2 linked regions of the Macaca fascicularis genome follow. The protein of the gene in region 1 purifies or fractionates together with the protein of each later gene. This does not show direct contact. Links are inferred from orthologs where the notes say so. Each region holds a gene or a part of one and is shown on either strand. Other genes may lie near its edges.

Region 1 (4,286 bases):
CAGCAGCAATCTAAGGGCAGTCTGGGCTGACGATGGACATGTGGGTAGCCTGTATGTATATGTCTGTGCTCATGCTTCTAACACACATCCACCCTGTTATGGACACGTTTATACATCTTCATGCCATGGTATTTTGTACCTTTCCGCAGAACCTACCAGTGCTTCAGTGAGGTCTTGGCAGCTTTGGGTTTTTGGAGCCTCTCTATTTGTCCATTGCTGCGTGGACGGCTTTCAGAAAGAATGATCGCTTTGAGGGCAATTGTACCCTGCTTTCCTGTGCAAATTCCAGTGGCTGGAGTTTGAGGCCCCTAGCAGATAACCCTTCTGCCCCTGCCCTCATGAGTCTACATACAAGAAATACATCTCTAAAGAGGTAATAAGCCTTTCCCGTGTGCATGTTATAGATCTTTTAACCTTATATATATACAGATGGTCCATCACTTACCGTGGCTTCACTTACGATGTTTTGACTTCATGATGGGTTCACTGGGGCCCGACCCCGACTTTTTTTCTTTTCTTTTTCTTTTCTTTTTCTTTTAAGAGGGAGTCTTGCTCTTGTCGATTTCTGCTTACTGCAACCTCTACCTCCTGGGTTTGTTATTTTTCTGCCTCAGCCTCCTGAGTAGCTGGGATTACAGGCGCGGGCCACCACGCCCGGCTAATTTTTGTACTTTTAGTAGAGAGGGGGTTTCATCATGTTGGTCAGGCTGGTCTCGTACTCCTGACCTCAGGTGATCTGCCTGCTGTGAGCCACCGTGCCCGGCCTGACCCCTTCTTAAGTAGAGAAATATCTGTATCTGCATGCCCACAGGGAAGCTCCTAATTACACCACGTGCCACATCCAAGCCATAGACCCGTGATGTGAGGACACTGGATCCAAGAAATACAATAGCATTAAGAAAGAAAAAATGCTGCCATGGATATTACCAAACGCCAAATGACTCTAAGACGTATGCTAATTGCAGGGACCTTAAAATCGCAAATAAAAAGGCGCCTGTAGGTCGGGCGGTGGCTCACACCTGTAATCCCAGAACTTTAGGAGGCTGAGGCGGGCGGATCACCAGAGATCAGGAGTTCGAGACCAGACAGGCCAACATGGCGGAACACCATCGCTACTAAAATATAAAAATTAGCCAGGCGTGATGGCAGGCACCTGTAATCCCAGCTACTCCGGAGGCTGAGGCTGGAGAATCGCTTGAACCCAGGAGGCGGAGCTTGCAGTGAACCGAGATAGCGCCACGGCACTCCAGCCTGGACCACAGAATGAGACTCCGTCTCAGGGAAAAAAAAAAAAAAAAAAAAAAAGCGAGCGCGTGATGTCTGGAGCAGGTGCGCGGTTGCGACGGCCGCTGCGGGAGGCTTGGGCCGGCCCGGTTTCCCGCCACGCCGGCGCCCCGCTCGTGGCGCGGAGGCCGCTCTAAGTTTCGCTTTCCATTCAATGGGAAACGAAAGCTGGGCGGGGCGCAGCCGAGCGCGCGGCCAGACCAAGGCGCGGAACTTCGGCCGCAGCTGCGTCCCCGGCTCAGTCACGCCGTGGAACTCAGCAGCGGAGGCTGGACGCTTGCGTGGCGCTTGAGGCAAGTTTGGGGCTCATTTTGGAAGTTTTCTTTCTAGCGCAGACATCCAACTCTGCTCTTACGCCAGTCAGATAATTAAGGAAATAAGTAATGATTGTGCTCTGCAAATTATGATAGCGATCTGTATTTGCTACGTGCATATATTGGGCCAATGGATTTTTTTTTCTAAGCTAATATAGTTATTTGGACTTTTGGCATGACTTTGTGTTTAATTTAAAAAAAAAAAGAAATTACAGAAGTGTTGTAAGCTTGTAAAAAAAATTCAAACAATGCAGACAAATGTGTCTCTCAATCTTCCACTCAGTATCATTTTTGTTTGTACCTTATCAGAAATGTTTCTATGTACAAGTCTTTAAAATCGTTTCGAACTTGCTTTGTCCACTGAGTATATTATGGACATCTTTTCATGGCAGGACATATAGATGTGTTAATGGCATTAAAAATAAAACAAAAAACTGACGTGGCCTGGCACGGTGGCTCACGCCTGTAATCCCAGCGCTTTGGGAGATCGAGGCGGGCAGATCAACTGAGGTCAGGAGTTCCAGACCGACGTGGAGAAACCCCGTCTCTACTAAAAATACAAAATTAGCCGGGAGTGGTGGCACGTGCCTGTAATCCCAGCCACTCGGGAGGCTGAGGCAAGAGAATCGCTTGAACCCCGGAAGAGGAGGCTGCGGTGAGCCAAGATCGCACCATTGCACTCCAGCCTGGGCGACAGAGCGAAACTCTGTCTCAAACGAACAAAAAAACCTGATACATAGTATGGGAAGTACATTGTTTAAACAATGCATGGAGATTTAGGTTGTTTCCAGTTTTTACTGGCATAGATACAGCAATGAATATCATTTTATGTATACATTCATACAAATATATTGGTGGAAAATTCCTAGAAGTGGAATGGCTGGGTCAGTGGGCATTCATATTGAGAAATTGGAAGGATGTTGTCAAAGTCTGCAAATCAGAATATTTTAGTCTTAACCTCTCTTCTTTCCCCCTTTTCCTTGGAAGAAAGCTAAATTTAGACTTTTTTTTTTTTTTTTTTTTGAGACGGAGTCTCGCTGTGTGGCCCAGGCTGGAGCGCAGTGGCGTGATCTAGGCTCACTGCAAGCTCCACCTTCCGGGTTCCCGCCATTCTCCTGCCTCAGCCTCCCAAGTAGCTGGGACTAGAGGCGCCCGCCACCACGCCCAGTTAATTTTTTTTTGTATTTTTAGTAGAGGCGGGGTTTCACCATGTTAGCCAGGATGGTCTTGATCTCCTGACTTCGTGATCCGCCCGCCTTGGCCTCTCAAAGTGCTGAGATTACAGGCTTGAGCCACTGCGCCCGGCCAAATTTAGACTTTAAATACAAAACTCTATTCTGAGACCCCTGAAAATCTGGGTTCAAAGTGTTTGAAAATTAAAGCAGAGGCTTTAATTTGTACTTATTTATGTATAATTTGTGTAAGTTATATTTGTATAAGTTGTTCCAGAAAAAAGGCAAATATTGAAAAGCATTTCATCTGACGTTTCTTTCTGGTATTGTACAGAGTTGGAGAGTGAATGCAGGTTATCTGATGTGTTCACAGGAACAAAACGGGAGGGAGAGTAACAGGTGCACGACTGCATCTTGATTTATCAAATAACCTGGTTTTGGACTGTTAAAAAATGTGTTGCACAGTTTTGACACTTTTACACAGTGATGGGCTTACAAAGGGGAAAATGCTTAACATAAACATAGTTTCCAAGAAGGTAAGTCCTGGTTCTTCCACATGAGCTGTTTTTTATTTTTATTTTTTTGAGAGACAGTAGTCCCAAAATTTCCCTATTATGTGGCTTTTCATCCAAAGTGTTGTAATCCGTGTGTTCTAACCCGCATATTACGATTACTCAAGAAATGCAAAATAGGCCGGGCGTGGTGGCTCACGCCTGTAATCCCAGCACTTTGGGAGGCCAAGGCGGGCGGAACACGAGGTCAGGAGATCAAGACCGCCTTGGCTAACACGGTGCAGACCCTGTCTACTAAAAATAAAAAATATTAGCCGAGCATGGGGCGGGCGCCTGTAGTCCCAGCTACTCAGGAGACTGAGTCAGGAGAATGACTTGAACCGGGGAGGCGGAGCTTTGCCGTGAGCCGAGATCGCGCCACTGCACTCCAGCCTGGGTGACAGAGCGAGACTCCGTCTCAAAAAAAAAAAAAAAAAAAAAAAAAAAAAAAAAAAAAAAAGAAATGCAAAATGATGTGAACACGTCATTGAGACTGCGGTCTACAATTGTGGTTGCCATGATGGGTTGGGTCGGAAGACGCTGAGGCTGCTGGAATCATGTTCCTGGAAGGTTAATTTTGTTCCTTTTAGGGCATCTAAATGTTGGAGCTGGCTTTCCTGGCAGAGTCCAGTTGTGAGTGGAGTGTTGGGTGGAGGCCCCGCCCTCCCCAGGTTTTCTGCAGCGTGTTCCTGGCTCTTCTGGGGCTTCTCTGAGGACCCTGATTGGTCCTGGGGCTACTTTAGTGGTGGGCCTGGGCCAGTTCCTTGGGTTGCTCTCCTCTCCTCGAAGCCTAAGGATAACATTTCGGGAAGATCATGAGAGAAGGTGAACCAGAAAAAAAAAAATTCAGGTAGGGCAGGAGCTAAGTTAGTTTAGTATTTGGGTTTTTTGTTTTGTTTTGTTTTGTTTTGAGACAGAGTCTTGCTCTTGTTGCCCAGGCTGGAGTGTAATAGCACTGTCTCGGC
Region 2 (4,535 bases), on another chromosome or scaffold:
GGTGGTGTGAATGCTACACAGGTCCTCATCCAGCATCTTCAAGGGCTCCAGACAGGAAGAAGCACAGAGAGGAACGTGTCAGTGGAAGCCCTGGCCTCTGCTCTGCAGCTGTTAGCCAGGGAGCAGCAAAGCACAGGAAGGGTCCGGCGCTCCCTCCCCACAGAGGACTGTGAGAATGAGAAGGAGCAAGGTATGCACAATGTCATCCAGCTGCTGCCAGGAGTGGGAACCTTCTACAACCTGGGCACAGCTTTGTATTATGCTACTCAAAACTGCCTGGGCAAGGCCAGGGAACGAGGCCGAGATGGGGCCATAGATCTGGGATATGACCTTCTGATGACCATGGCCGGGATGTCAGGGGGACCTATGGGTCTAGCGATCAGTGCTGCACTTAAACCTGCATTAAGGTCTGGGGTTCAGCAGTTGATCCAGTATTACCAAGATCGGAAAGACGCAAACATCTCTCAGCCAGAGACCACCAAGGAGGGTTTAAGGGCCATCTCAGATGTGAGTGACTTGGAAGAAACAACTACCCTGGCTTCTTTCATATCAGAAGTAGTAAGTTCAGCTCCCTACTGGGGGTGGGCCATAATCAAGAGCTATGACTTAGATCCTGGGGCTGGGAGTCTTGGGATATAAAAGAAGGTAGTAACCACAGAACTAATAAATCTAATATCCTGACAAGCTGTATACATGTCTTCAAAATTTTAAACTCCGATTTATTCAGGAGTAAGGCTGTACAGTAAAACGTAGGAACGTAAATGTTTGGGGGTTGAAGTCAGAGGGTTTGGTTTTGAATCTAGGCTCCACTTGTTAGAGCCTCCGTGATCACTGACTGGTAACTTCTTTCTTGAACTAAGATCAGTTTTTAAATTTCTAAAGGAGAGAATGATTTTAACTTCAATGAGTTGCCCTGTAAATTTTAAATGACACAATTAATCTAAAGTGCTTATCACAGTACTCTCAATAAATAGCTATTAGCCAGGTGCAGTGGCTCATGCCTGTAATCCCAGCACTGTGGGAGGCCGAGGCAGGAGGATCACCTGAGGTCAGGAGTTCAAGACCAGCCTGGGCAACATGGCGAAACTCCGTCTCTACAATAAACACAAAAAATTATCCTGGCGGAGTTATGCACGCTTGTAGTCCCAGCTACCTGGGAGGCTGAGGCGGGAGAATAACCTGAGCCCGGGTGGTCGAGGCTGCAGTGAGCCGAGGTCGCGCCACTGCACTCCAGCCTGGGTGATAAGAGCGAGACCACGTCTCAAAAAAAAAAAAAAAAAAAATACTGTTTTCATTACCTCAGCCCTCCTCTTCCTATCCCAAGGCGTCGAAATTCCGGTCCCACCCCTTCCCATGGAGCCCTTGGCGTCTACAGGCTCCTCAAGCTAGTTTCGGTTCCGTGGCTCACGAGCGGGTTCTCGAAAATCAGCTGTTTCAGTCTTGGGCCAGTCCACTAATTAGACTCCTCCCCTCGTAGAAAGTGCCTACTTGAACTTCTCCACCAATCGCTGGAGCTGCAGGTGTGGTTTCGGCTCAGCTTGTCCCGCCCCGCGGGGGGGTGTAGTTGCGGCGGCGCCAGTGAGTTCGCAGTCTGGGAAGGGCTTGACTGAGTGGCAGCCAGTGTCGGGGTGGCGACTGGGAATGGGGCCGCTCCGGACTTCCGCTGCCAACTACGAGGGGGCGGGTCCGAGGGTGTAGGCCGAAGTTGTAGGCGGGGCCTGAGGCTCTAGTACCCGAACTCCTTCTACGGACGGGAAGTCGCGACCAGAGCCAGTGGAGGGCGCGGAGACTGCAACCCTAATCAGGTACGGGCCCTGAGAGGGTGTGCTGAGGTAGGGGTGGGGGTGAGAGTGAGAGTTCCTCCCAGGGAAGGGCGACTGGCCCCAGGAGTTACGCCCTGGAGGGGGCAGCTTCTGTCCCCAGGTTGAAAGAGGAGCTGTCTGTCGCCTGCTCGGTTCTCGATCTTCTCCTGTCCAGCCTATCTCCCCAACCCCAATGCCCCTCCCCGAAAACTGCCCTGCAGCTTCCGAGACCCGGAATCTGGCATTGTTGGTTCGGTATCTGACGTTACTCTGCTCTGCATTATTTTTTATCTTCACCTAAAAACGATGTTCAAAGATAGATAAATCTAAAAACAAAGATAGATAAATCTATCGTCTTTATTTGTTTTGTTTAAAAGTATAAGCTACTGAAAGATGAAACATTGCCTAAGGTCACACACAAAATTCAGTTCATTTCAGAAAAGCTTCTTGAGTGCAAAATATGTGCTTAAGAGTGAGAGATAATGAGAAAAAATTGTTTTAGCTCTTAACCTCAGTGTTTGCAATCCATTCGGGGAGACCAGGTTTTTTGTTTTGTTTTCATATTTGAATCTTTGCTGACTTGCTCCTTTAATATCAGACACTTAAATCCTCAAGAATTGGGACCTCATTATTATTATTATTATTATTATTATTATTATTTTAAAGATGGAATCTCAGTATGTTGCCCAGGCTCGGTTTCAAACTCCTGACTGAGCTCAAGCCATCCTCCCGTCTTGTGGGCCTCACAAAGTGCTGGGATTACAGGCATGAGCCACCATGCCTGGCCACCTAATCATTTTTTTAACTTATATTTTTTTGTATCATAAAAGCAATACAGACACATAGTTTTAAAAATCAAGCACTACTAAAAGGGTTAAAATGAAAATAGCCCCTGCCCAATCCCTCCCTTCCCTTGTTCCTGCTGGAGGTAGAAGGGCAGCTGATGTTATTCATGTTAGTAGAAGACTATACCACCCCAAGCATTTCTTTTTACTTTGTAATAAAATCATGTGACCTTTTTAGACCACTAATGTGCATGAATTCTGTTTTGTTAGGCTCAGGCTGCAACAAGCTTAAGTTTCAGTTTCCTAAATAGACACCAGATGGCAGCGAGCAGGGAACAGTGGGGAGAAGGATGCAAGGCACAGCCTGCTTGGTGACAGGCAAAAGCCAATTCATTGTTGTTGTTTTGATTCAGAGACTGCACTCTGCCTCCCAGGCTGGATGTGATCTCCACTTACTGTAACCCCTGCCTCCTGGGTACAGGCCATTCTCCTGCCTCAGCCTTTTGAGTAGCTGGGATTACAGGTGCCCACCAACATGCCTGGCTAATTTTTTTGTATTTTTAGTAGAGATAGGATTTCACATTGGCCAGGCTGGTCTTGAACTCCTGACCTCAAGTGATCCTCCCGCCTCTTCCAAAGTGCTGGAATTACAGGCATGAGCCACTGTGCCCTGCCAAAACAAAAAAAACAAAAAAAATTTAAGTGAAGTTTCAGGATCTCACAAAGTTGATAACTTATATTCAAGATTCACAGGTCATAAACGTGTCATATTCTTAGGGACTGAGCAACCCGTTGCATAGCATTTAGATGTCTTCTAGCATGGAGCTCCTCCTTCCTATATGGAGGGCAGTTTATAGGGTGTACTTACCTAACCTCCAAAAAGATTTAGCTCCTAAAAAAGCTTCAGGTGGCCGGGCATGGTGGCTCACACCTCTAATCCCCGCACTTTGGGAGGCCAAGGTGGGCAGATCACCTGAGGTCAGAAGTTCCAGACCAGCCTGGATGACATGGTGAAACCCCATCTCTACTAAAAATACAAAAATTAGCAGGGCATGGTGGTGGGCGACTGTAGTCCCAGCTAGTCAGGAGGCTGAGCCAGGAGAATCCCTTCAACTCGGGAGGCAGAGTTTGCAGTGAGCCGAGATCATGTCACTGCACTCCAGCCTGGGTGACAGAGCAAGACTCCATCTCAAAAAAAAAAAAAAGCTTCAGGGTCAGCAGGGATCATGCTGTAATAAATACTTAACATCAACACTGATCTTTAAATGCTTATATTTGTTTAGCATAAACAAATATAAACAACAAACACATAAATGCAAAATAAATGAATTAGAGAGATAGATGAAATAAGATAGTGGAAACAGTAGTTTGTTAAAGCTGGATGGTGATCCTTGTACTAGTCACTCTGCTTTAGTGTGTGTTTGAAAATTACCATTAGGCTGGTTATGGTGGCTCATGCCTGTAATCCCAGCATTTTGGAAGGCTGAAGCAGGCAGATCACTTGAGCTCAGGAGTTTGAGATCTGCCTGGGCAACATGGCAAAATCCTATCTCTACAAAAAATTAGCTGGCGTGATAGCACACTCCTGTAGTCCCAGCTCCTTGAGGGGCTGAGGCAGAGAATCGCTTGAACCTGAGAGATCAAAGCTGAGCCACGATCATGCCACTGCACTCCAGCCTGGGTGACCAAGTGAGACCCTGTCTTAAAAAAAAAAAAAGAAAAGAAAATTCCCATTAAAGCACAAAGGCCCACTTACTGAAGCTATTAAAATACAGGTTGGGGCCGGCTGGGTGCGGTGGCTCACACCTGTAATCCCAGCACTTTGGAAGGCTGAGGTGGGCAGATCACGAGGTCTGGAGATCAAGACCATCCTGGCTAACACGGTGAAACCCTGTCTCTACTAAAAATACAAAAAAAATTAGCCAGGCATGGTGGCGGGCGCATGTAG

The links.
Region 2: the proteins of USP18 (region 1) and STAT2 purify together in Homo sapiens (affinity purification with western blotting; 6 studies listed by BioGRID and IntAct, with this or other methods). This does not show direct contact. The link is inferred for Macaca fascicularis from reciprocal best matches to the Homo sapiens genes USP18 and STAT2.

What each region holds. Positions count from the first base shown.
Region 1 is NC_088384.1:34,043,918-34,048,203, reverse strand, and holds the start of USP18 (ubl carboxyl-terminal hydrolase 18), read left to right. Parts: upstream 1-1,481; 5' UTR 1,482-1,577; intron 1,578-4,286. UniProt on the Homo sapiens protein: Interferon-induced ISG15-specific protease that plays a crucial role for maintaining a proper balance of ISG15-conjugated proteins in cells. Regulates protein ISGylation by efficiently cleaving ISG15 conjugates linked via isopeptide bonds.
Region 2 is NC_088385.1:63,163,451-63,167,985, reverse strand, and holds the start of STAT2 (signal transducer and activator of transcription 2), read left to right. Parts: upstream 1-1,586; 5' UTR 1,587-1,805; intron 1,806-4,535. Other genes in the region: APOF (apolipoprotein F), read left to right, coding at 1-639. UniProt on the Homo sapiens protein: Signal transducer and activator of transcription that mediates signaling by type I interferons (IFN-alpha and IFN-beta).